3 linked regions of the Lytechinus pictus genome follow. The main gene of each other region encodes a partner of the protein of the gene in region 2 in a complex. Links are inferred from orthologs where the notes say so. Each region holds a gene or a part of one and is shown on either strand. Other genes may lie near its edges. The genes, in order: vam6/Vps39-like protein, vacuolar protein sorting-associated protein 33A-like and vacuolar protein sorting-associated protein 8 homolog.

Region 1 (7,912 bases), on a different chromosome or scaffold from region 2:
TATCGCGGGAAGTTATTCAAAAGCGCGGGCCGTTGAAACTCCAAGATCCGAAAGTGCGCATGCCCGGAATATCGGGCTTGTTGCCTCGCTCGAGCAGATATAGCTCCTCGTGGGATGGTGCAGACGGGGTTTCTTGAATCTCGAGATTAATCGCGAAGAGGGCTGATCGGGCTAAAATCTCGAGATTGAGCAAACTCGGGATGGTGCAGCACCGCCTACCATGACTACACATATAATTCATTTGAGATTATGAATGCCATCATAAATAGATAACTGATCATAATTTTGAGACAAGATGCTTTTTTTTTCCGAAAAAGTCTAATTCATTAAAAAAATTCAATCATAGTGACTTCAGAGCATATCAGTTGTGATTTAAAAACAGGGGCCCGTAACACAAAGCTTTAATAGCAATCATCATAGAACATTTTTTACGATTGATTGCATTTACTACAATACAATGTACAATCAATCGTAAAAATCATGTGTACGATTGATCGCTAACCGTTATGTTACGGGACCCTGATTAGCCCTTTACTTCAAATATGTGACTAACCTTGCACCAAATTCATATGCAATGTAGTTTATATCCATATTTTTTACATAAAAAATTGGGTACATAAAGTTCAAAACTTTTACTGATTTGTGATTTTATTGCCAAAGTTGGATCGCAGCAGATTGCACTGTAAGGCAGGCTTCATTGTAAACAATTTACAATAATTGTGAACAATGTCTACAATTAAGCCTGTCTCACGCAGACTTTAGTAACTTGTGTTCAGAAATATAATATACATGTAATTCCACTTCTACTGTACAGTATGCTTCATCACATCATCTACTCATGATGGATAATGCCGCATTACTTACATGTACAAATGTTCAATACAATCAAATTCATATCTGTTTCATAGAGTGTACTCTATATGGAATCATTTATCAATTATGTGGAAGCACCTGCACAATTTGTAAGCTATCATAGCTTCACAAACACAGGTATTCAATAATATCACCTTCAAAAGACTGCTCGCACATGTCCCTAACTTTTTTTTGAAACTAGAGCCTAGTGTGAACACAGACCTACATGTAGTCAGCTGGGTAACTGCACAGCTGACACCTAAATCCTGAATCAGTCACATGAATATGACTTACATCAAACACTTGGGAGATTACTTTCACTGCCTATGAAGTGTCATACTCTGAACAACACACAACATGAGGACCATATTATGTACATGTCAGTGCTCTAGACCATACAGTAATAAATACTCTTAATACAAACAAGTGCGTATATACTTTGTATATAGCACACAAATTTGAAACAGAATTTATACCAGTATTTCAATTGGGATCAACTTACAGTACAACCATGTGACTTTCAGTACATTAACCTATTTTTAAACTTGTCTGATTTTGAAAAATTAACTATAGATAGATGACCCATAAAATAATTTTGAATGACCTAACAAAAGTGTAAAATTATGCAAACGATGCAAGTTAAGATTTGATTTAGCAATCAAAAGAATCAAAGGAAAAGATGTACATGTATAAACAAATTAATAAAACAAATTAAAAATAAAACATATTAAACATCTTATCAAGGTATTGCCCTGCATCTGATGTACTGTAGCTGTAACAAAGTGTGTTTCTGGTGATTTTAGTTTTTGTTAGATATTTCCAAGCCACAAACATGACCACAAAACCAGTTTGAATAAACAATTCAGCTACATTCAAGAGGAAATATTGAGGTCATTAAATAAAAGAAGTTATATACTGAAATCAGACCAATGCCTTACAATGTATCTTAATAAAAACAACCAACAGTTTTCTGTTTTCTTTTCTTTTAATGGCCATCAAACAACTTGCGATTGGACTGCAACCCAATTTTGGAATAAAACAAAGTAAAACTTGATGCAAATATTGATACACAGAACATCTTGCTGTTTAAAATATGCTACCATCCCTAATATTAGAAAAACGTCATAGCAAAGTTTCTATGACTGGCTATGATTTTAAACCAATTTGGCCTTTACTACAAAATACAGGCCTACAATCATCCATAATTGTTTTTTGCGGTTAATATGAAACTTAAATAAAACTAAACTTTTTATTCACTTTTTCAGAAAATAAGCAAAATGCAATTTGTTCCAAAATCTATTGATAATATACAATATTATTTACAAAGTCATTCCAATGATGGACTACTTACATTGCCCTCCTGTGATGCTGTATACCAGAAGGTGTCCTGGTTTTGTTCCCACAAGCAATTGATCTCCTGCAAATGAATGAAAGATAATCATAAATTCTTACAAAATACAGCACATCCATTATGGTGCTATTGCAACTAAGCCATGGAAATAATCCAGCTTAAAACATCCATATGTACACTGCATCATAAAACTGATTTTTATTCTTACAATAAAAAACCAAATGCTAATAATTTTACTGCTACATGTAAATCTACTTTGAAAGCGACAAATTTCATGAGCTCGATATCTGAAAATTGTGATTTTTATGCAGCTGATTTTCAAATCATGTTACAATATTCAATGCACACTGGATTCCAAGTATATGACTTTAATATTAATTACTAAAAGGTCAAAGGAATGCCTCTTTATTTGGCTCACTGGGTGAAAAGTTTTTAGTCCGTTTCGATTCACTAACCCTTGACAAAAACTTCATCATGAAGGGCATTTAGTTCTGCATGCGAAAATTCCTTATTATTCACCAGAGGTGATCAGAGGCATCAGGTCATTAACCTCAACCCATTACAAAAGGAAGGATGGGAAATAAATACTAAGATGCAGACCTACTTGTGGCCTGCAAAACTTGTGCAAAACATAGACTTACCATGGCAGGCTATTGATTCTATAGGTAGAGGAAGCTTCTCCAAGATAGGACGTGCCTCATAAGCATCATGCATGGTGGATCAGAGAGTAATCTTGGCAGCTAGAAGATCACTCTGTGTTGTTCCTGGTTCTTGATTAATTTAACATGTTGCAGGTATGCCCACTGACTCCGACATGTTATCTGTGAACAGTTAAGATCAAATCTTTAAAACATCAATTAAAAATCAAATTCCCCAAATACTCCAACTCACAACTGTTTTAAAGTTAGGGCAAAATTCTTAGCCATGTTGTATTTATGAGATACAGACTCTGCAGTTTTAAGAAAAGTTACTTAGCCAATTACCCTATATCTGTCACGCGAAAAAAAACTCTTAGCCAAATTCTAAGACAAAATTCTTAGCCAATTCTTTATGGAATACGCGTTTTGGCTAACAATTTTGTCTCAGACAGAAAATAAGACAAAATGCTTCAATTTTTTACCTAAGCATGCTTATCTCGTTAGTGGAATACGGGCCCTGGCCCTAATATGGTTTTCATTTTCGAATCATCACAGTCACATTACAGTACACTAGCACTTTCTGCTGTCTGCGCCTGATTAAAACCCTGAAGTTTAATAGAAATTGGCCTGTCTGCTGCAACTGATAGATGGCACACCGTGTCCACCAAATTTTTGAAGAAGGAATTGTTGAAGAAGGAGTGAAACTGACCCGGAAGTAAACCTTGATTTTGGGTCAGAATTGAGCAAGATGGCAGCTTCCTGTAGATATATACAAATACTAGTTTCCAGTTTAAAAAGTGTAATATTGATTTTTGCATAAATTTCAAAACACATATCATACAATTTAAATATTAAATTTTTTACCAGATCTACTGGAAAATGAATTTGATTCTGCAGACCTAATTATTCAATATTGACGAGCCACACTGTACTATGAAATTTGAAAAGCAATGAAAACTTTAAAAATTCTGGAAGCTCTTTTGTTTTAAGTTTTGACACATTCTCAGATCATTTTAATAGAGATTTGAAAAACAAACAAACATTGGTTCCGTAAATTGTTAAACACAATTTGTTATATCCATCGAATAAAGTTTTCAACTCCAAAATTCCATCTATCTAGAAGGCCTTATTTTTCCATAAAAAATTGTAGAATCTCTGCAATATTTCCAAAGCACACAGAGGCTTAGCCCGGATTTAAGAAACAGTATCACCAAAAAAATAGCTAAAATCAAGAAATCTGTGGTTTTGTTCCAAGTTTCATAGTTTTCTTGTGAATTTAGATTTGTATCTTCAAACAGAAAATAAAACAAACAAGGGAGAAAGTCAACCACATTGAACTCGTATTAAAATAATGTCAAGTGAAACGTCCGAGTTGCCTTCACTCAACATTGAATTTGAGCGTGATACAGATACGAATGGCTGTTGCGACTTCCGGGTTACATATTGCCTGCAGTGTGGTGCAATTCAGTGGCTCTAGCATGGATTGACGTTGAACGCATGATTTGTGACACATGTCCAATCATGGACCTATGAAGAGATGGACGATTAACACGAGCATTTCTTTGATCCAATGATAGTTACCGTCACCTGGTTATGTGCATCATAATAAGAACATACCTGTGTTGTGACAATAGCAATTACCATGACTACCAAGATGTATCTGATCACTTAAAGACGGATCAGTTTCCCAAGGTCTTACATGTAGTTTTGTTGGCTGATACCGTTTCAGCTTGTGCCTTTCAATCAACATGCTAATGTGGAGCAACAAACTTGAGAACAGACGATTTCTGTGATATGAAATATGATATCATTCTATCCAGACACTTCTGGACGCACGTAAGGACCTCAATAGCATTGAGAGATACATGATCTATACACGTTATGTGCCACATATATCTGGAATATTATGGAGAAATTTGAAATGATTAGCAATCAATGACAAGTGTGCCTAGTAATATGACAACATTTTCCCAAATAAAACACATGGAATTAAGATTACAAAAGGTAAACAAGAACTGCACATCGATTTTCCATGATTCAAGTGATTTGTTATCAACTGCGCATACAATCTGTGAAATATAAAGTTCCAATCACGAACTGCTTCAAGGCCATTCTCGCGGTAGCGATCATAGGACCAAAGTAGACAAGTATGAAGAGAATGTTATTCAGATGACAATAACAGTCACCTGTGAATTTATTATCTACCGTAAGCGATGAATTCCATCTTTTCATAGGTCCATGGTCAAATGAAGGATAGAATCTAGTCTGCAGGCACAGACCCTGATTGAAAGCCTATGGGACGCAGAAAAAGACAATTTTCAAATATTTTTTCAAGTTGAGAATTCTCTGAAAGAATTTCATTTGACAACTTGCAACTTAGTGTGATAAAAGTCACAACACTCTAGTATATCTAAGGCAAGTTTCATGTCATTCTAATTACAGACTCTAATTAAACAAATTAATGACATGTTACGTATGGGACATTTTGTCCCCATAGAGAACGAACGCAATTTTCTCCATAATTTTGAAAATTAGAATTTGAAATATGGAAATAACAAGAGTTTTTTCTTTTAAGATGTTCTGAGATATATTTGATCTGACTGAAAAGGAAATTAGCCATTTCAACATTTTTTTCATGTTTTCCATGGTTTCATGAATTTCTTGCATATTTCTATGGTTTTTATTTTTTCATATTTTTCCATTTTCACAATTATTTTTTTTTGCTTGAATTTTTTTTAATCAGTATTTATAACAAATCAGATTTTAGAAACTAAAGAAAAGGTAAATAAATCACTATTAAGAGCACTCTTGAAATATTTTTTTCTCCATTCACTTTGTACACAAAGCTCCCCATTGACATTGTGTGTAAATACATGTCACATACATGTACATTACGTAACAATTTTTTGATTAACTTTTAATTAAAAAGTAACCTACATTTTTGAAACTTTTTGTGGTATAATATTTTCATACTCAATAAAATAAAACTTCCCAGAGATGCATCATGCAAATATGTATTGTATTCTGAGAAATAACTTTAAAAATATCCTCAAAATTTTGGTATGGGACATTCCATCCTTAGACAAGAACCAATTTGCATATTCAATTAGATGACACCACTTTTGTCCCCCGAGAGTAATAAGATTTTAGGGGGTCCATGTCCCATCTATGACTAAATCTCACAAGTTTTGTTTTGATTTTCTATGATTTTTTATAATTGTCCCATACGTAACACCCATTTTACCAATTATGCAAATTAAGTGCCCCAAATTAGCATAAATTTGAATATTATAAACATTTTCTTAATGAACTTTTAAAATTCAACATTTGGGCTTTCTTACTCCATCAAAGATAACTTCTTAAAATAATGAAATTTTGTCTTCTAGGGTGACCCTTTCTTGGACTTGCCCATGTATATTTTGTCCTATCTACATGTAGCTAGGCAGAGCCTAGATCTTATCAGATATAGACATAATTTCGGGTTTAATCAACCTTGAAAGGCTATATCTAGTCTAGGTTCTATTTCTTTTGGAAAAATTAGAAAGTAAAAAAGGGGCCTAAGCTTTCGATCCTAGCAGAATCTTCGTCGGAGGCAAAATGACAAACATATAAAGTGGAACAACCATAATATAGACCACAAACAAGCTACAGCAACACTAGAAACAAGGAGACAAAAGAGGCATTAGTGAGTAGAGAAGACCAATCAGGTTAGTGAAGGGGATGAAAGAAAAGGAGTATAGGCAGACACAAAGGGAAGTTAGTGTAAGTAAGGCCAGTAAAAGACCTCAAGCCAAGAGGGATTAAAATAATGAGGCAGGCAACATCAAACAGGATCTGGAACAAAACAGTGATAATGGGATGAAAAACAAGAGAATTAGTGAGAGGTGGGTCAAACAGGTTACAAAGAAAGGCTTAATAAACTGGTGCATAAGAGTGGGGGGGAAAAAAGAAAAAGAGTGGGGGGAAAAAAAGAAAAAGAATGGGGAACAACTGATAATGTGCAAAAGACATATAAGTATATATGATAAAGCATTAAACAAACTAAGAGAAGAAGGTAAGTGTAAATATGTATCTATAAGTGATATGTATATAAATATATCCAAAAAAGAAATGTATATGAAAAAATATATAAATACACATATGGTGTAACTGATATTGTAATCCGCTAGGTGTGACGGGAAAAAAACATAAGACTATATAGTAGGAAAAAAAAAAAAAAAAAAAAAACCTGTATATGTGAAAAAGAGGAAGCAAATTGCCTAAAAAGGTAAAAGCAAATATAGAAGAGAGGGGGTGTATTATGAAGAAACCATAGTATACATGTAAATAAGCAAATGTGGTAAATCTAAAAGAGGTGAGTGGAGAAATAACAAATATATATATATATATAATAATAATAATTATTATATCGCCTGAATAAGGAAGGAAAAAATGGAGCTGAGCTTGTATGAGATATGGGAGGAAAGTAGAGTAAGAAACTATAATGTAACTATTCAAAAGAGCTGAGGGGAAAAATTATATGTATATATAAATTGAAAGTGGATAGGAAAGAAAAATCAGTCGTTCCCCTCTTGGATGTTCAGGCCATGAGGTTGGGTGGTGGAAAAAAAGTCAAAGGCCTAAATTTTTATAAAATCTGATTTGCTGAGCCTGAGTGTAACCAACAGAACACTCAATGTACATATACGTTACACTTACAGTCATACAGAGACTGCACTCAAGGGTTCATTACATGCCGCCGTGCACAGGAAAATCAAGGCTGAGCTGACCCTTCCACTTCTTTGGAGATTCCAGGAGTCCAGATGAAACACTTCCATGGGATTGCATAAAATTAGATACTTTGACGAAATCTAAAATCTAATCTAATTGTTCAATTACACTAATACCTTGGTCACATTTGCTCTACGGCGGCCGTACGGCGAGTCAAAAACAGCTGTTTTATTAATTTTAATTCAAATCACCTATATGCAGCTGGTACAAAAAATGTTAAAATGGCTGTTTTCAAGCTGGCATACGGCCGCCGTAGAGCAAATGTGACCAAGGTATTACCGATCAATATAAAGTCCCTTTG
Region 2 (7,732 bases):
TAGGGCCTCATGCAAAATTTTAATATACCATAATTTGTTATATTCATTTCCAATTTTTATTAATTTGTCAGTGTTTTATTTGTCTCACTTTACTGTTCAAACCGTATTATTTTCTTCAGCCTGGAGTACCCCTATAAGTATGGGTATACAGCGGGAGATGTTGATTAGTGCCAAGATATGATCCTTTTCATCAATATTTTTTTCTTCCAAGATATTTTTATTGAAGACATTTTTAAGAATAGACCCTACATTAGAAAGAAGAACAATAGCTGATGAAATTTATCATATGATAATCCTCACTGGCAAATACTCTATCATGAGCATGATAAGTGAAGTCTGTGAAGAGCATTTTCAAACAAATAAACTGATGATAAGTGGGATTGCATTTTTTTTTGTACAGAATCTCCATCGTAATATCATGATAGGCTAATTTTCTTGATCTTTTAAATCCTTTTCAATATTTTAAAAATTAAATTAGTAAATATATACTTGCTGTCATTTCATGTTTAAAATGTAATAATAAGGAAATTTTTTAGGCCTATATAACAATTAATTACATTCCTTTACCCTTTCCTAGACAAGATTTTAAACTCGTAGGATGTGCAAATAATCATAACTAAATCTTAAGTTAAATCTAGATCGCTACGCACAAATTATAGATTTTGCCTAACTCAAATCCCCTAACAACACTTGTGCCTAACGGTGCCTTAACAGTGCTTTATGTGCCTTCTGACTGTGCGGTCATTCTACCCATGTTGTTAGTAGCTGATTTGTTAATGAATAATGATATACAGATTGTGATGTCAAGCATTGATCCCAGATGTAAATAATGCATTACTTTGACATTAGCCATCGCGACGAAATTACCAGTTGTAACAGGTCCCTTTCTTAGTGCAATGTTACGCTAACAGCGTTTCTGTGCGGCCGATACAGGTCTCTCCATGACCATAAAATCCCTGAGTTTTAAGCTGTTTCAATGTTAGGGAACTTACCGTCAACTTTCTCTCACAGAGAAGACTCTTCCTTGGCACAAAGAAAATGTGGAACTCTTTGCGGAAGCGTCCAGGGGTTTCCTCCGCCTTGCGGATATTGTCTGCAACAATTGTCATCAGGTCCAATCGAGGGCGCACAATGAATATAACATTCTGGATAGTACCACCTGCACCACTGGACGAACTCTTCAAAGGCAGATGACCATGTCGAAGGGGGAACATACGGTCAACTTCATGTTCCTAAATGAAGAGATATGAATTTGGCACTACTTACATGACAAAAATGATGTAAATTTGTTATAATTTCTTTGACATAGTATCTATAAACTAGACAAATGAGACTTTCTGAACAGCTCAAACTTTATTCAATGTACAAGCTATGGCCTATATGCTACCCTACTACCATACAATGACAAAGGAAGAAAGTTATTTTTTTAATGGTATTTTTGTGTGTCCAAGTGAACTCGTCTTCAATGTTAGATGGAAGGTACAATGGCACTGCATAGATACCAGTGTTAACGGTATTCAGAGATAGAACATTATTTTCAAATACCTCTTTTTTTATTTTATTCTATTTCTTCTTCATCAAGACTGTCTTCTTGTCAGCTTGACCTCCCACAACTAATGTTGTAGTGCAAGAGCAATAACACCTTCATCGATCATTATACAGCTGTAGACAACCTACCTTTAACAAGGAATATTCAGCGATGAGCCCAATAGGTCCCGTAAGAAAATCATCCCAGACCACTGCCTGCATGTAAAATGATGATCGACAGAAGAATACGGTAATATGGTTCATAAACAAAAGTTATGTATGACTAGTGACCTGTTGTGCTAACAATAAAAAAAAATCCCAAGTGAAATTTTGATTGTAACTTTCATTTGATGAATATTTTGTCAAATTTGAATTGAATTGATTTGAATATTCAATTTAATAATTTTTTAGGACCAATTAAAAAAAATAATCAGTATCATGCTTATTTATTTCTTTTATTAAATATTAAATATCACAATTCTTTTGTTTTGAGGACTTGTTTTTTTTTTTACATAAATGTCACATTTTTGTTACAAAATTGTTTTAATAAATCCCCAGAAACGACGTTATTCCTGTAAAACATTAGATTTAGATACCAACGACTGGCAACGTAACTGGCCTGCATAAAACAAAAAAGGTGTAAATTTACAATCACCCCTAACTTAGACCAAAAGCTTTGGTCTCAGTTTTATTGGTTGTTCTGCTGAACTCTGTTGGCTCCACTCACAAATTATAGACTGAAGTAAGTCACTTTTTCCCCCCTTTAAAAAGTTTTTTTTTGTGTGTGTATTTAAGGCCAAAACTGAATATTAATCTTCATTTTGGTCCAGTTCTATAATATAGGCCTATATTTTTATGAAATAAAGACAAAAATCGAAGAGCCGGCCCGTCGTTTTTTTTTTGTCTTGTTAACCCCCCAGGCCTAATAATGTATAGCTGAGCTGAACCGATATCCAGTTCAACATGTTCAATACAATTACAACAGAGTCTGACACACCCAAGTCCACCCCCCTCAAGTCCACCCCCCCCCCCCCCCCCTTTCCCGTAATCATATGCCCCAGTCACACAACAGGCTCGTCAGAGTCGTGGAACGTAATTAAAGTTAGACCTAGGCCTAGGCCTACTCGTTAAATTTGTAAATTTGTAAATTTGTTGTAAACGAATTCTAATCTAAGTTAAGCAGTACATCAATCAAACTCACCTTACTCCCTATGCATTTGTCCAAACAATCTAAGAGTTCTCTTCTGGCAACTTCTCTCCAAAAGGCTAAATTCACACGTCCACTGACAAGATGTGTGGCCATTTTTTTTTCTTCGTGGATATATGCATACAAAATGAACCGTTGCTGCATATAAATTTGTGCAAGAAAGACCGCGGAGGCCGAGCTAGCTCTAGCTACCGGGGCGCGGCGGCGCGGCGGGCGGGCGGATCGGAGACCACATGTACGTAGCTAAAAAAGGCCAAACAGATTTAGTTCAAGAGAGTGGTTGATTTCATACGCAGCGCGCAGGCAATTGCATAACTAGGCACGTCCCCACTCCCGTCGGCCTACAAAACAAAAATAAAAATATACGGAGGAAAGGGAAGAGATTAGGAGAAATTAAAGAAACAAGGTTAAAAGAGAATAAAAAAGAAAATGGAAATATTAGAAATATCTTTAAAATTCAACCATTGTTAAATGACCGATAAAATTTGAATTATTTTACAATATCAAAAAAATATTCCTTGAAAATTTTCCAACTGATATCTCGGCATGCAAGTCCATACTGAAGAATTAAAATTTATTGATACCCCTAGCTGTTACAAATTAGTTTTAATCCACGGGCGGCTGAAGCACTAAAAAATGCCCCTATTAGAAAAACAGTGCACCCGGCTTACTAACTTTTTCACTCGAGTGCCTCTTTCATCTTCATATAGTGAAAGGTCAAGTCCACCCCAGAAAATGTTGATTTGAATAAATATAGAAAAATCAAACTAGCATAACGCTTAAATTTCATCAAAATCGCAAATGACTGACATTTCAGTTTGGCTCTGTTATTTTTCACAAAACACTGAAATGCACAACACAGTGATATGCAAATGAGACCCTCACTCACTATTTCTTTTGTTTTATTGTACTTGTTTGAATTATACAATATTTCATTTTTTACAGATAAGTATGACAATAAGGGACCAACTTGACTGAACCACACATGTATAGCGTTAAACAATGATAATGAATTGCACATGTTTATGGGGGAATTAATCGTGTTTCACTTGACAATTAGGAGAAAATTTCATATAATAAGATACAAAAGAAATATGAGTGGATGACGTCATCAGTGTCCTCATTCGCATACCGACCAGGATCTGCATTTTATGACTGTTTTGTGAAATTAAGCGAAACTTTAAAATGTCATAACTTTCTCAATTTTGATGAAATTTTCAGCGTTGGGCCACTACAGTAAATATATTTACCTATTTTTTTGTTTGTAAAACAACCATAACTGGTCTCCTTTATTCATTTCATTTCAAAGTAGTACATGTGCATCAATCTTTAATATTTGCCTCCATTTCTGGAGAGAGATACACGGTTTTCTATATTGATCAGGGGCGTAACAGGGGTCGATGGCCGGGGGGGGGGGGGGTGGGGCAAGAGCCAAAAATTTGCCGGTCATAATCATGATATGAACAGGCAGTGTTGTAACGAGGCAAAATATTTGAGAGGACCAGACATGGCGTACCCGGCAGAATTTATTCAAAAAACAAAGTTGCGAGCGAGCAGAAAGTCACATTTTGTGACAGATTTTGACATAATATTCAGAAAATGATATCATTTTTCACCCTTCTCTCTTTCCTTTTCTTTCCTTGTTAATTTTTTTGTCTGGATACGCCACTGTGAACAGGATTCTTTTTTTTTTAATGATTGTGCGCGAAGATCTATACATGCGGGCGGCGGTATAGCGTGAAGAGTATAAAAACAAAAAAAGAGGTGCACTGCAGTATTATGGCGCATGAGCCAAAAAGCTGCGTAATACAAGTCCAGAGCGAGCGAAGCCAGCGAGAAAAAAATAAACATTTTCATGAGAATATAACTTTGAGACATTTCTGACATTATATTCAGTAAATAGGCTCCAACATCATATCTTGCACTTTTCCTTTGCTTTTCTTTCCTCCTTTTCTTTTTTTTGTTTTTTTTGTTTTTGTTCGGGTTGTAGAACTTTTGGGGGCCATGGCCAAACCGCCTGTGCTATGCGAGTGGGAGAAGCGCATGCAGAGCCACCGGAACCTCTTGATATCAAAGCCATTTTAAACCTTACAGAATTTTAATCGAATCGCAGATACATACAGTATATATCTTTTACACAAAATTCAACGCAGTTGCGCAATGAGACAAATATTTTGAGGGGTCACAAGATAGTAATGTGGGAAAATCGAGCGAAGCGAGCCCGAAAATGGCCTTTTGAAATGAAATTCTAATGAATTATTTGATAGATTTTTACATTAAATTCAGCAAATAACATATTTCATTGTTTTCCATTCATTTCATTGCGTTGCCTTCTATTTTTTTTTATTCCCCCTTCTGTGTGGAAGCAAGATCCCCCCTGCACGCCAGTAAAAGTTTAATGTAGGAAGGAGGCCATACAGGGTCGTTCCGGAGCCCTTTGAAGGTTACAGATGAAGAGCCCCTATATACTGCTTGGGGTATATGGGGCAGAGCCCCCGGTAGCTTTGGACATTTAGCCAAAGTAAACACTTGAAAGACTTTTTGACGGTAACTCTTGCCAGCGTAAAGCTTGCCTATATAGGTATAGGGCATTATAACGAAATAATAACATGAGGATTTCAAGCATTTGGCTATAGGGACATTTTTGTCCTGATTGCGACCATTATTGCATAAAATTTAGCAAGTTTAATTGTAGTCCATCCCTTCCTTCCTCTACCCCCTGCTACTAATTATTTTTAATCCTCGGCAGCCCGGTCGTGTTATTACGTTCTTTTTTTTTTTTCTTGTCCCTTGAGTTTTTTCGTTATCCAAATTAGCTCTTGGCTCATTCCATCGGGTATAAATTAATTTCCCGCCTTTGTTTGCTATTTGGATCATCTTTTAATTTATTTTCCGTTCTAAGTAATCATGCTAATGTATAATAGGCCTATTTCGGAATGATTTGTTTTTTCTCACATGTTTTTCTTTCGTTCCTTTTCCCGCTTCCCTTCCGTTTTCCATTTTTAATGTTTTTTTTCTATTCACCTTTTCCCTTTTCCTTTTCCTCCGTTCCTTCCCCTTTCCTTTTCCCTTTCTTTCTCGCTCCCTTTTCTCGTTTTCCCGGTGAAATCTGCCGCGGGGATACACTGGACGTATAGCAAGTTTTCAACATAACAGGTGAAAAAAAAATGTTAATTAGTCTTTTAATTGTTATTTTTCACTTGGATTCATTTCCAACAAAACTTTTATAAAAAGCAAATAATAATTCAAAATAATATCTATATCCTTTTTCTTTTTTTCAACTGATATCAATACTAGAAAATAGGCCTATATAATCTGCAAACGAAAATTTAGCAAGAAGTATTTTTTACTTTTTTCCCCAAAACATTGCCCTTGTTACATTGCAAGAAAAAAAACATGCTAACAATCTCCTTTTTTATTTTTACGTAATTATGATATCGCCCATATCGCAAAATTGATATCCGTCCAACATCACAATGTTGACAATAGGGAAAGGTTGGCAAAGTGTCAACATATTGGACCAACGATGTCGCAAAGGTATTGTTGGGCCAACATCAGTACAAAGTCAACAATTTCGTCAGTCGCGAAATGTTGGCAATTGGAAAAAACACATTGTTGAGCCAATGGGATGTAAATATAGGCCTATATACTTTGACCTGGTATGACAGTCATCACAAAACTTATATTGCGCCAGCAACATCACAGTGTACGTTGACATTAGCATGTTTATGAAAGGTCTAGAAAGCCCCTGGACTGAGTGTCAAAATATATATCTGTTCAGTGGGCCAAGGTTAAAATCTAGACTTTTGCATGTTGTCGCAAAAGTTGTAATAATGTTCTAAGGAAACTAAATTCAGTACTGCAATTGAAACCACCGATTTAATCTTGGCGATGCTGATTGGTGCGAAAAATGCACATTCATTTCCAATGAACAAATTCAAGCACGTGCCCTTGAATTTAATTTATTGTGTATGATACTGTACACCACTGGCGGATCCAGGGGGGGGGGGCACAGCCGGCCCGTGCCCCCCTTTTGAGAAGCAAAACTAAGTTTTGTAATGTAAAACTGATGCCATTAAAACAGAAGTGTGCCCCCCCCCTTTGAAAGTGAATACTTTTTTTAAATATCACTTTTTTTTAACCCCCCCCCCTTTTTTTTGCTTGTCAAATTTTTCCTCGGAAAAATGTGCCCCCCCCCCCCCATTTTGGAAAATCCTTGATCCGCCCCTGCTGTACACTGTTAAAAATACTAAAATTTCACAAAGAAAAATCGTAATTTACAGGATGTTTACCTTTTAAAAACAGACGACACAATGATTTAACAAACCGAACGTATTTACGCAGATAATATTGTGTAACATAGAATTTGTATTATTGCATGGGGTGTTTGTGTTGATTTTCATTTGAATATATAGACTTTTACTACTCCAGAAAAAGCTTTGCGCGTTATTTGCCATTCTCATTATCGGGCACACACGAATGTTCTTTTCAAAACTCATGGTATTCTTAATATAAGATACATGATCTTTACCATTATAATCTTGGATATACAACCTTAGTAGAGATGAACTATACCAGATGTATTTATTCTATGTTTACAAGGAATATCAATATCCATCCCTAACCTATACAAGATCTGCTGGACTTTTCCATTTACCTAGAACAAGGACATTATTAACAAACAAACTGTTCATAATTATCTTCTGCTGGCATCAAACTTTGGAACTCACTTTCACTAGCTTTACGAAATAAGCATACAATATAGCTTCAATAGAGCATTAGAATATAACCTCATGCACTAATAACCGTACACTCAAATTATTCATTCTACTTAGGATATCTTGAGGATATCTTCTATTCTTCCGTATCCCCCCCCCCCCCCCTCCTCCCTTCATTTCGCTTCTTTTCCGTCTCTGGCTCTTTTAATTTGATCTATACCTGTGGAGATTTGTTTTTTGTTTGTTTTCTTTTACTCGTTTCTTGACTTTTTTCAAGTTT
Region 3 (7,274 bases), on a different chromosome or scaffold from region 2:
TTAACTACATGTACAGCGTTTATGAAGAAAAGGGTGTGCTGACGCATCCTCCTAAATTTTGCTTTTTGACGGGGAAAAGGAGAAGAAATAAAGATAGATTTATATTAAATACATTCAGCTTACCACCTTTCTGAAAAATATGATGGAAAATAGCGAATTCTGATGACGAACAGATCAGGATCAGCAAGGTTCTTCTATGATCGCTCGATCACCATCAGCGCAGCTACAGGTGAGCATACAAACGTGCCAGCTAATCCCCTGATCCTGATGTGTTTGTCATCAAATTTTCCAGCATATTTTTCAAAAAGGTGGGCAGTGGTAAGCTGATTGTATTCAATATAAATTTATTTTATTTCTTCCTCTTTTCCCTTGTTAAAATTAAAGCAAAATTTAGGAGTAATCGAGGAGGTTGCAAAAGTGAACCCTTTTCTCCATAGTCGTTGTAGTTAAGGCGTCGTTGAAACTCCACCATTACGAGTGCAATGGCCATCATCCATCCGTCTGTGTAGGAGGAAAAAAAATGTTGAAAAACTCCTCCGAAACAGCGGATTTATGTCGAGTCTGCATGGGCCTAGGCCTACATGTACAATTGTACGAGAATTCAGTCTACAAAGTATGAAGATCAACTGGTGAGTATAGCCAGCGAAAGTCAGTGGAACAATCAGTTGTATGGTAGGGGGTTCTAAAGCTACGCACTACTCCATTGCGCATGCAATTTCAATGGCAAATAAATGCTCACTCTAGCTCTGTGTGTGAAGCTTAAGCTGTGACTGTATAGAGTGACGAACGATCCCTATTCAATATTTCTACAGAGTGCTTTCAGAGGCTGCAATAAATCCTTGAATGCAGAGAAAACCAACAATTTTTTGGAATTTTGGAGGTGGAGTAAAACCCTCAAACATCGGACGGTTCCAAAAATGACTTGAACTCCCTTCACTGTAACTACAGGGACCCGAACTGGCAGGGGACTTGCATGCATAAGAATACATGAACATACATGCTATTGAGCTGCACACACAGTAGATCCAAGTTGCTGCTCAAAAAAAAAAATTCCAGGGGTTAAATCCAGCGGTAAAATCCATAATTTTGACTTCCAGAGATTCTTACGACCCTCGCTAATTATGGACTCCAAAAGATCGATGACCAAAAAAATCTCGTAAGGGAGAAGTGACTTTCGTCAGAAACATCGCCGCTGCGAGATCGCACATGTTCGATCTATCGCAAAAAAATCTGCAAAGAAGAAATATGGCACTATCTCAAACATCGGACATATCGGCCGATTGAATTGGAAATGCGTGCTGTTAACGCGCGCGCAGGTTTCAAGAACGAAGTCGCGTGCAGCTGAGCAAAGAGCCGAAAGAGGTCCGTTGGGTAAGTAAATTATCATTATTTACCGAATTCTATATCAAAGTTATTTATAGTAATAATCAAAATTGGCATTTGCGCAGCTAAAATAAATCATTTTATCAACAAGTCAGCAATTTAATAGCCATACTTGAAATTATGTTATCCCCCCCCCCCCCCCGTTCCTGCCTTTATCTTAATTTCTCTTATCTTTGCTTATTGATTTGTATAATATATACTTTATTCATCGTGTAATCTTTTGTGTGTATCATGTGATATTCTAAATTATTTTGTGCGAACAAATTGAATTTCCATTTATAAATCATGATTGCAATTGGACAATGAAAATATCTGAATCTGAATTATTTTGGGGTCTACAGCACGATTTAAATCGCCGAAATTGATTGCGGCCAACAACTCTACTCGTCCAATATTTGGAGACGGCATCCGATTTTGGGCAAAAAAACAAACTTCTGGTAGTAAGTAAATAATTTCTGTTTAGCATAATAATTTTTTCATTTCTATTCTTTAATGACATTAATATTCAACATTTGTACTACGGAAATAAACATGATTTATATTTGATGCAACAATTGTATTTTTGTTTTAGTCCAATAATGCTTAAGTGTCCAATATTTGGGCACTTTGCTCTATATTCACTCTAATTTCTTTTTTTCCTTTAAATTAATAACACAGACATATTTTAGAAATTTCGGAACAGTAAATACTACTTCTTTGCATAATAAATCGAGAGCGTAACTTTTTAGGACCCCTTCTAAATCGGGCGGCGAAACACGGCGGGATTTTCGTAATGCTATTAGTGAGTTTTGTAACACTTTCTTCTTGGTTAAGGATCTTTAGAATTATAGAATATAATAGATCTAACTTAGAACTAGGCCTAGTGTCTAGTGACGTCTATATTTTACAAAATTAGGTAGGCCTAGTGAAACTTGAAGATGATTTGTTCAAATATTAAAATTGGCATAGTTTTTATAGTTTGAAAACAAAGTGCGTAGCTTTAGGTCCCCCAATCATACAGAGACTGAAGCTTTTGGTCTACACTTAAAGTGAAGAGACTAAAGAAAGACATGATTGAAAGAAAAAAAACGACTGACAAAACAACAACACACGTCAAAGTCAATAGGTGGGGCATAGCAGACTGGATTTTGCTCCTCGGGACACTTGCCTTGGTCTATTTTATGAATTAAAGTAAACCTTGAAAAGTGGACAACGTTTGCATAAACTATGAGCAAAACTCAACACAGACTTCTTTTTAAAAAAATCCTTAATACCAGTACTTACAAGTAATTCAGCTCAGACTCGACCTCAGAATCAGTCCAAATTTGGCTAACCGGCAGACAACAGCAGCAGAGTCTGGACTACGCCCCACAATCGAAGCTCCTGCCGGCCTAGCTAGGCTATAGAGCCTGCATGCATTTTATGCCGCGCGGGTCATTTTTTAATAATTTTTAATATCCCCCCCACAAAAAAATCCATATTTATTGTTCGAAATAAATTTACTTAATTTCTACAAGGCACAGATGAAATAATTTAGATTATCAAGTTTCATTAACTGATAGGTTCTGAAATATCCCCCTAGCAATTTTGTCTCTCCTGTCTAGCTCATGTTTTGTCTTTCCTCTCTCACCATACGCACTTAGAATGTTGGGCAACATACTGTCCACTGTGTTGGATAATGTATGTTGGTAGAAATATATATATTTATATCCAACTAAACAAATTCATTACCCAATTATGTAAGTTTTTATTACCCAATTTGGACAGATTTTTAACAATAGTTGTGTGGACAGTTGTATGTTGCCCAAAGTTGGTTACAAGTTGGACATTTTTGCCCAACTATATATTTTTAGAGTGTAGACCTATTTCTGTTTACAGCACCATTCGCACAATCATCCCCTTGTACTCGTTATGTTATACAATATCCTATGATTTTGTAATGTTTTAATTATAAAGTGACCTCGTTCAGCCCTCACAAAATGATTTATATGTGTCTGCAAGGAATATTCGACATTGAAACTTCCATTTTATTTGGGGGGTGCATGGGCACCGCTGAACGCTCCTTGGTATTGATAGCTTTGGACATATTGGGTATGTGACGTGGGGGTTGTATAACTAAATCATAAATCACTCAAACTGTTGGAATTTTAACAAACTTTGAAGTAAAATTTCTCTGAAATGGGTTTGAAATGTCGTACCTGCATGTGCGACGGTTCGATTGATCACCGACGACATGGTCATCTAAATGGTAAAAATAGCGATGTGAGATGGACGAACGCGTGATGTCGATCAAAAACAAAAAATCATTTTCCAAAGACACTACGAGAAAGAGGAAGGCAATAGACAGATAGAGGAACTGAGAGAGAGGGGAGAGGGAGAGCAGCAGACTGAAAGAGAACTTGGCCACAGAGCATCATTGCGTCCAACCGACATTTGGCATTTCTCAAAAGTTTTGGGCATTTTTATTAATATCCAGTGTGATGAAAATTTTGCCCATTCTAAAGTTATTGCTGCTTGTTTTTTTTAACCTTACTGGACAACATGCTTCCTGCGTTGGGTAAGATACTGCCTCAAATTGGTTGAACACATAATTACCCTCGTGGTGGTAAAATTTTAACCAATATTTTTTTTTACAGTATATGCACCCTATTGGGTGCAAGTGCACACACTTTACACCCTTTAGTGTGCAAACTTACACCCTATGGCCTACACTGTAAAAAATGAAGTGCTAATTTAGTGACTGCACTACGAGTGCTGATTTTCTTGTTCAAATTTATAAACTAGAAAATCGGCACTCGTAGTGCAGTCACTATACAAGCACTGTAAGTGCCAAATTAGCACATCATTTTTACAGTGTAATAAAGGGTGCTGTTATTGTAACTAGGGGTGCAAACTCGATTTTTTTTCTTAGTGTGCACGTAACTATTTCGTAAAGTGAAGAAAAAAGGGGAAGGAGACGAGAAAAACAGCTAGAAGAGGGAGAAAAATAAAAATGCAACGTGATGAGAGTTGTGTAACTCTATACCCTTTTATTACAATGATAAAGAAAACATGATTTCAAAGTTAGGTTATCGTGCTCTTTTCAATCTTGGCATTTTGATCACCCAACATCTATAGCTATATAGAATTTATTTCTCATGTACCTTTAATACCATATTAATAATTGCTATAATAATTTCTATAGCTCTTATTTTTATTTCATGGTTTAGGGAAGTAGCTGGAAATAGCTTACAGTTGGAATATTATTGAACTATAGTATTGGATGACGAGGAGGGTCAGGAGCTGGCATAGTAGGTAAGAAGTTATACGAAAATGATTCAGTTCTAAAAACTAGCGTTCAGTTTCCCTTCTTTTCCCCTTTTAATATAAATAAGGAAGAGTAAATATAATAATAAGACGGGGAAAGAAAGCAAGAGAGGAAGAAAGTGTGTGTGTGTGTGTGTGTGAGGGTGTGTGTGTGTGTGTGTGTGTGTGTGAGGGAGAGAGAGAGAGAAACATCCAAGGGCGGCTGGAGAAAGATAGAGAAAGATGTGAATAGATAAAAAAGTAGGAAGTTTCCGAACTGAGACGCAGAACGCTTTCAAGTTCAATGGAAATGTATTGTCAAATGGATTTAATGACAAAAAAACAACTAAAAACTCTTTGTCGAAGATTAATAATCAAATCAGCAGATCGCCCTACACTTTGCACAAACGACATTTTGCAATTGTTCGTCCACTCTGAAAATGAGGGCTAAACTGCTGTTCCTGTTCACCAATTTTCGACAAAGCCCTCCCAGGTGTTTTATTTGGCGGGCATTTTCAATACATTTACTTTTTTTTTATTTGATCTGCGTCGCGGTTTTTTTTATTAATTATTAAAGTAACACAATCACTGAAAATAAAAATGGGGAAGTGGACTTTCGTGATTCGAAAGTCCGCTCCCCCATCGTCCCGCTTTCAGTGGCATCATTTTCATCTTAGACATCTCTTATTTATCCAAATATTAGACTTTATACATTGTCACTTACCTGTAAATGATAGGTACTGACATTTATATTCATTACGCGACCGGTTCATCCTAACTACAAATAAAACAGTGAGAATAATATATACATTTTTCGAAAACCTAAAAAGACATCTGAAATTTTCTGATGAGTGACTATGTAATGGTGCTCTTTCTTTGATGAAACAAAAGAATAAAATATTTTGCACACCCTAATACAGAACAATTTCAAACACAAAAAAATATGAAATTTATTTAGAAATGCTAACATTTACTTGATCTCAATGAATATTAAATATTATTTAAATAAGGCGTTAATTAAAAAATATAAGTACACTGATCATGATTTTAGAAGAAATAATCACCTTTTCCTAATTGGAGTTAGATTTACTTAATCGAAGCAAGGATACATGAAATTTGATAAATGTATATGAACCCAAATAAATCAAGTAATTCAATTGAATTAAAATTCAAGTTAAAGCTACCTAAAAATCGAGAAATAATTTCAAATAATAAATTCTACTTATACAGTGCGTATCAAAAAAAGTTTACACTGAGACAAAATCCTGTAAAATTATACATTTGTAATATCCTGAAGATTTTTCCACATGTTAACATGGGTACAGATCCATTTAAGCAAATGACGATATAACTGTCGAAAAATATTTCCGCTTGGGTGAGCACCACTTACTTTTGAAAAGTTAGTGAAAAATGATTTGCGCAGAACTTTGAAATAGTTATGCGAATAACAGTAGACCTTAATAATGAAGAACACATGACATTTAGCTAGTAACATTGATTTGAAGATATCTTTTTACCTTTTTAAACTTGTTTTCTTACCCAAAACACTTCGAAGAGTGCCATTGCGCCCCCCCCCACTCCCCCACACACCGAGGCCATCGTGACGATATTTACACTGAGCTGTGATTTACATGAAATGGCTTAGGCTTGATTTTCATTTTGTTAATCATTGTCAAGCTTGGGAAAAGTGTGAAGAAACAAGAATTAAATGAAAAATGAAATGTAAACCCACTTTAAATAATAAAAACTTGAAAAACGTGAAAAAATGCTGGAGATGTCTGATATAAACATTTGTTTAGATTCAATTATGTCCTCAGATCCAGCTGGCACAAAAAGGGTAAAGGTTGTGCTTATTAATTTGTTAAAATTTTAAATTGAGTGGCAAAATTGTTACAAAATGCTTGAATGTATCCGTTTTATTTCAATTGACTAAAAGTGCAAGGGAAATGTATGAAAAATGTTTCACAGGGTAAGTTTGATTTCGCCTTTTCCCCTCGACACAGTGTGAAAACGAGCTTTTCTGCGCAAACAGATTTACAAAAATGGACAGTACTCACTCAAGTGTAATATTCTGTCAAATCTTTTACTTTCATTGGATAGATGAGACCCAAACCCAAGAATATATGTGAAAAAATTACCCACATGTATTTTTTAATTCCCAGGGCTTTTTCAAAGTGAAATTTTTTTTTTGATACGCACTGTATACATTAAGTGTTAAATACTTATTAAGATAATTTTTTACCGAGTATTAAAACAACGTTCTATAGTGTGTAGATACCTCATTATTTTGCATTAAGTCTTATTTTACACTCATTCTACAATATCAAGTTTGTTTTTACATTTATATATGATGAGCTACACAAACTTGAAGATTGAAAACACCCTAAAAATGTATCACACGAGTCACAAAATAGGTCCATATTTTACATTGCTTGAAAAGTATAGCAGATTGTATGAATTGTAGTTGATTACTTCTGAGGATCTTAGGACCTCAATAATTCCAGCAAAAAAAATTTCAATGTGTAAGCCCCTTCATTATGAAAAAAAAAACACCAGGGGGCCGTTTCATAAAGCTGTTCGTAAGTTAAGAGCGACTTTAAGAACGACTGGTGAACCTTTCTTACAAG

What was found.
Region 1: vacuolar protein sorting-associated protein 33A-like (region 2) and vam6/Vps39-like protein share a complex: the UniProt entries of both Drosophila melanogaster proteins name them as parts of the homotypic fusion and vacuole protein sorting (HOPS) complex. The link is inferred for Lytechinus pictus from reciprocal best matches to the Drosophila melanogaster genes car and Vps39.
Region 3: vacuolar protein sorting-associated protein 33A-like (region 2) and vacuolar protein sorting-associated protein 8 homolog share a complex: the UniProt entries of both Drosophila melanogaster proteins name them as parts of the class C core vacuole/endosome tethering (CORVET) complex. The link is inferred for Lytechinus pictus from reciprocal best matches to the Drosophila melanogaster genes car and Vps8.

What each region holds. Positions count from the first base shown.
Region 1 is NC_087251.1:20,216,105-20,224,016, forward strand, and holds the start of vam6/Vps39-like protein, read right to left. Parts: upstream 3,058-7,912; 5' UTR 2,918-3,057; coding exon 2,845-2,917; intron 2,270-2,844; coding exon 2,204-2,269; intron 1-2,203. UniProt on the Drosophila melanogaster protein: Part of the homotypic fusion and vacuole protein sorting (HOPS) tethering complex involved in endo-lysosomal vesicle trafficking and lysosome biogenesis.
Region 2 is NC_087246.1:16,839,413-16,847,144, forward strand, and holds the start of vacuolar protein sorting-associated protein 33A-like, read right to left. Parts: upstream 3,090-7,732; 5' UTR 2,879-3,089; coding exon 2,729-2,878; intron 1,744-2,728; coding exon 1,678-1,743; intron 1,233-1,677; coding exon 993-1,232; intron 1-992. UniProt on the Drosophila melanogaster protein: Core component of the class C core vacuole/endosome tethering (CORVET) and the homotypic fusion and vacuole protein sorting (HOPS) tethering complexes involved in endo-lysosomal vesicle trafficking and lysosome biogenesis.
Region 3 is NC_087245.1:17,278,613-17,285,886, forward strand, and holds the start of vacuolar protein sorting-associated protein 8 homolog, read right to left. Parts: upstream 3,009-7,274; 5' UTR 2,647-3,008; intron 1-2,646. UniProt on the Drosophila melanogaster protein: Part of the class C core vacuole/endosome tethering (CORVET) complex involved in endo-lysosomal vesicle trafficking and lysosome biogenesis by facilitating docking and fusion of endosomal vesicles.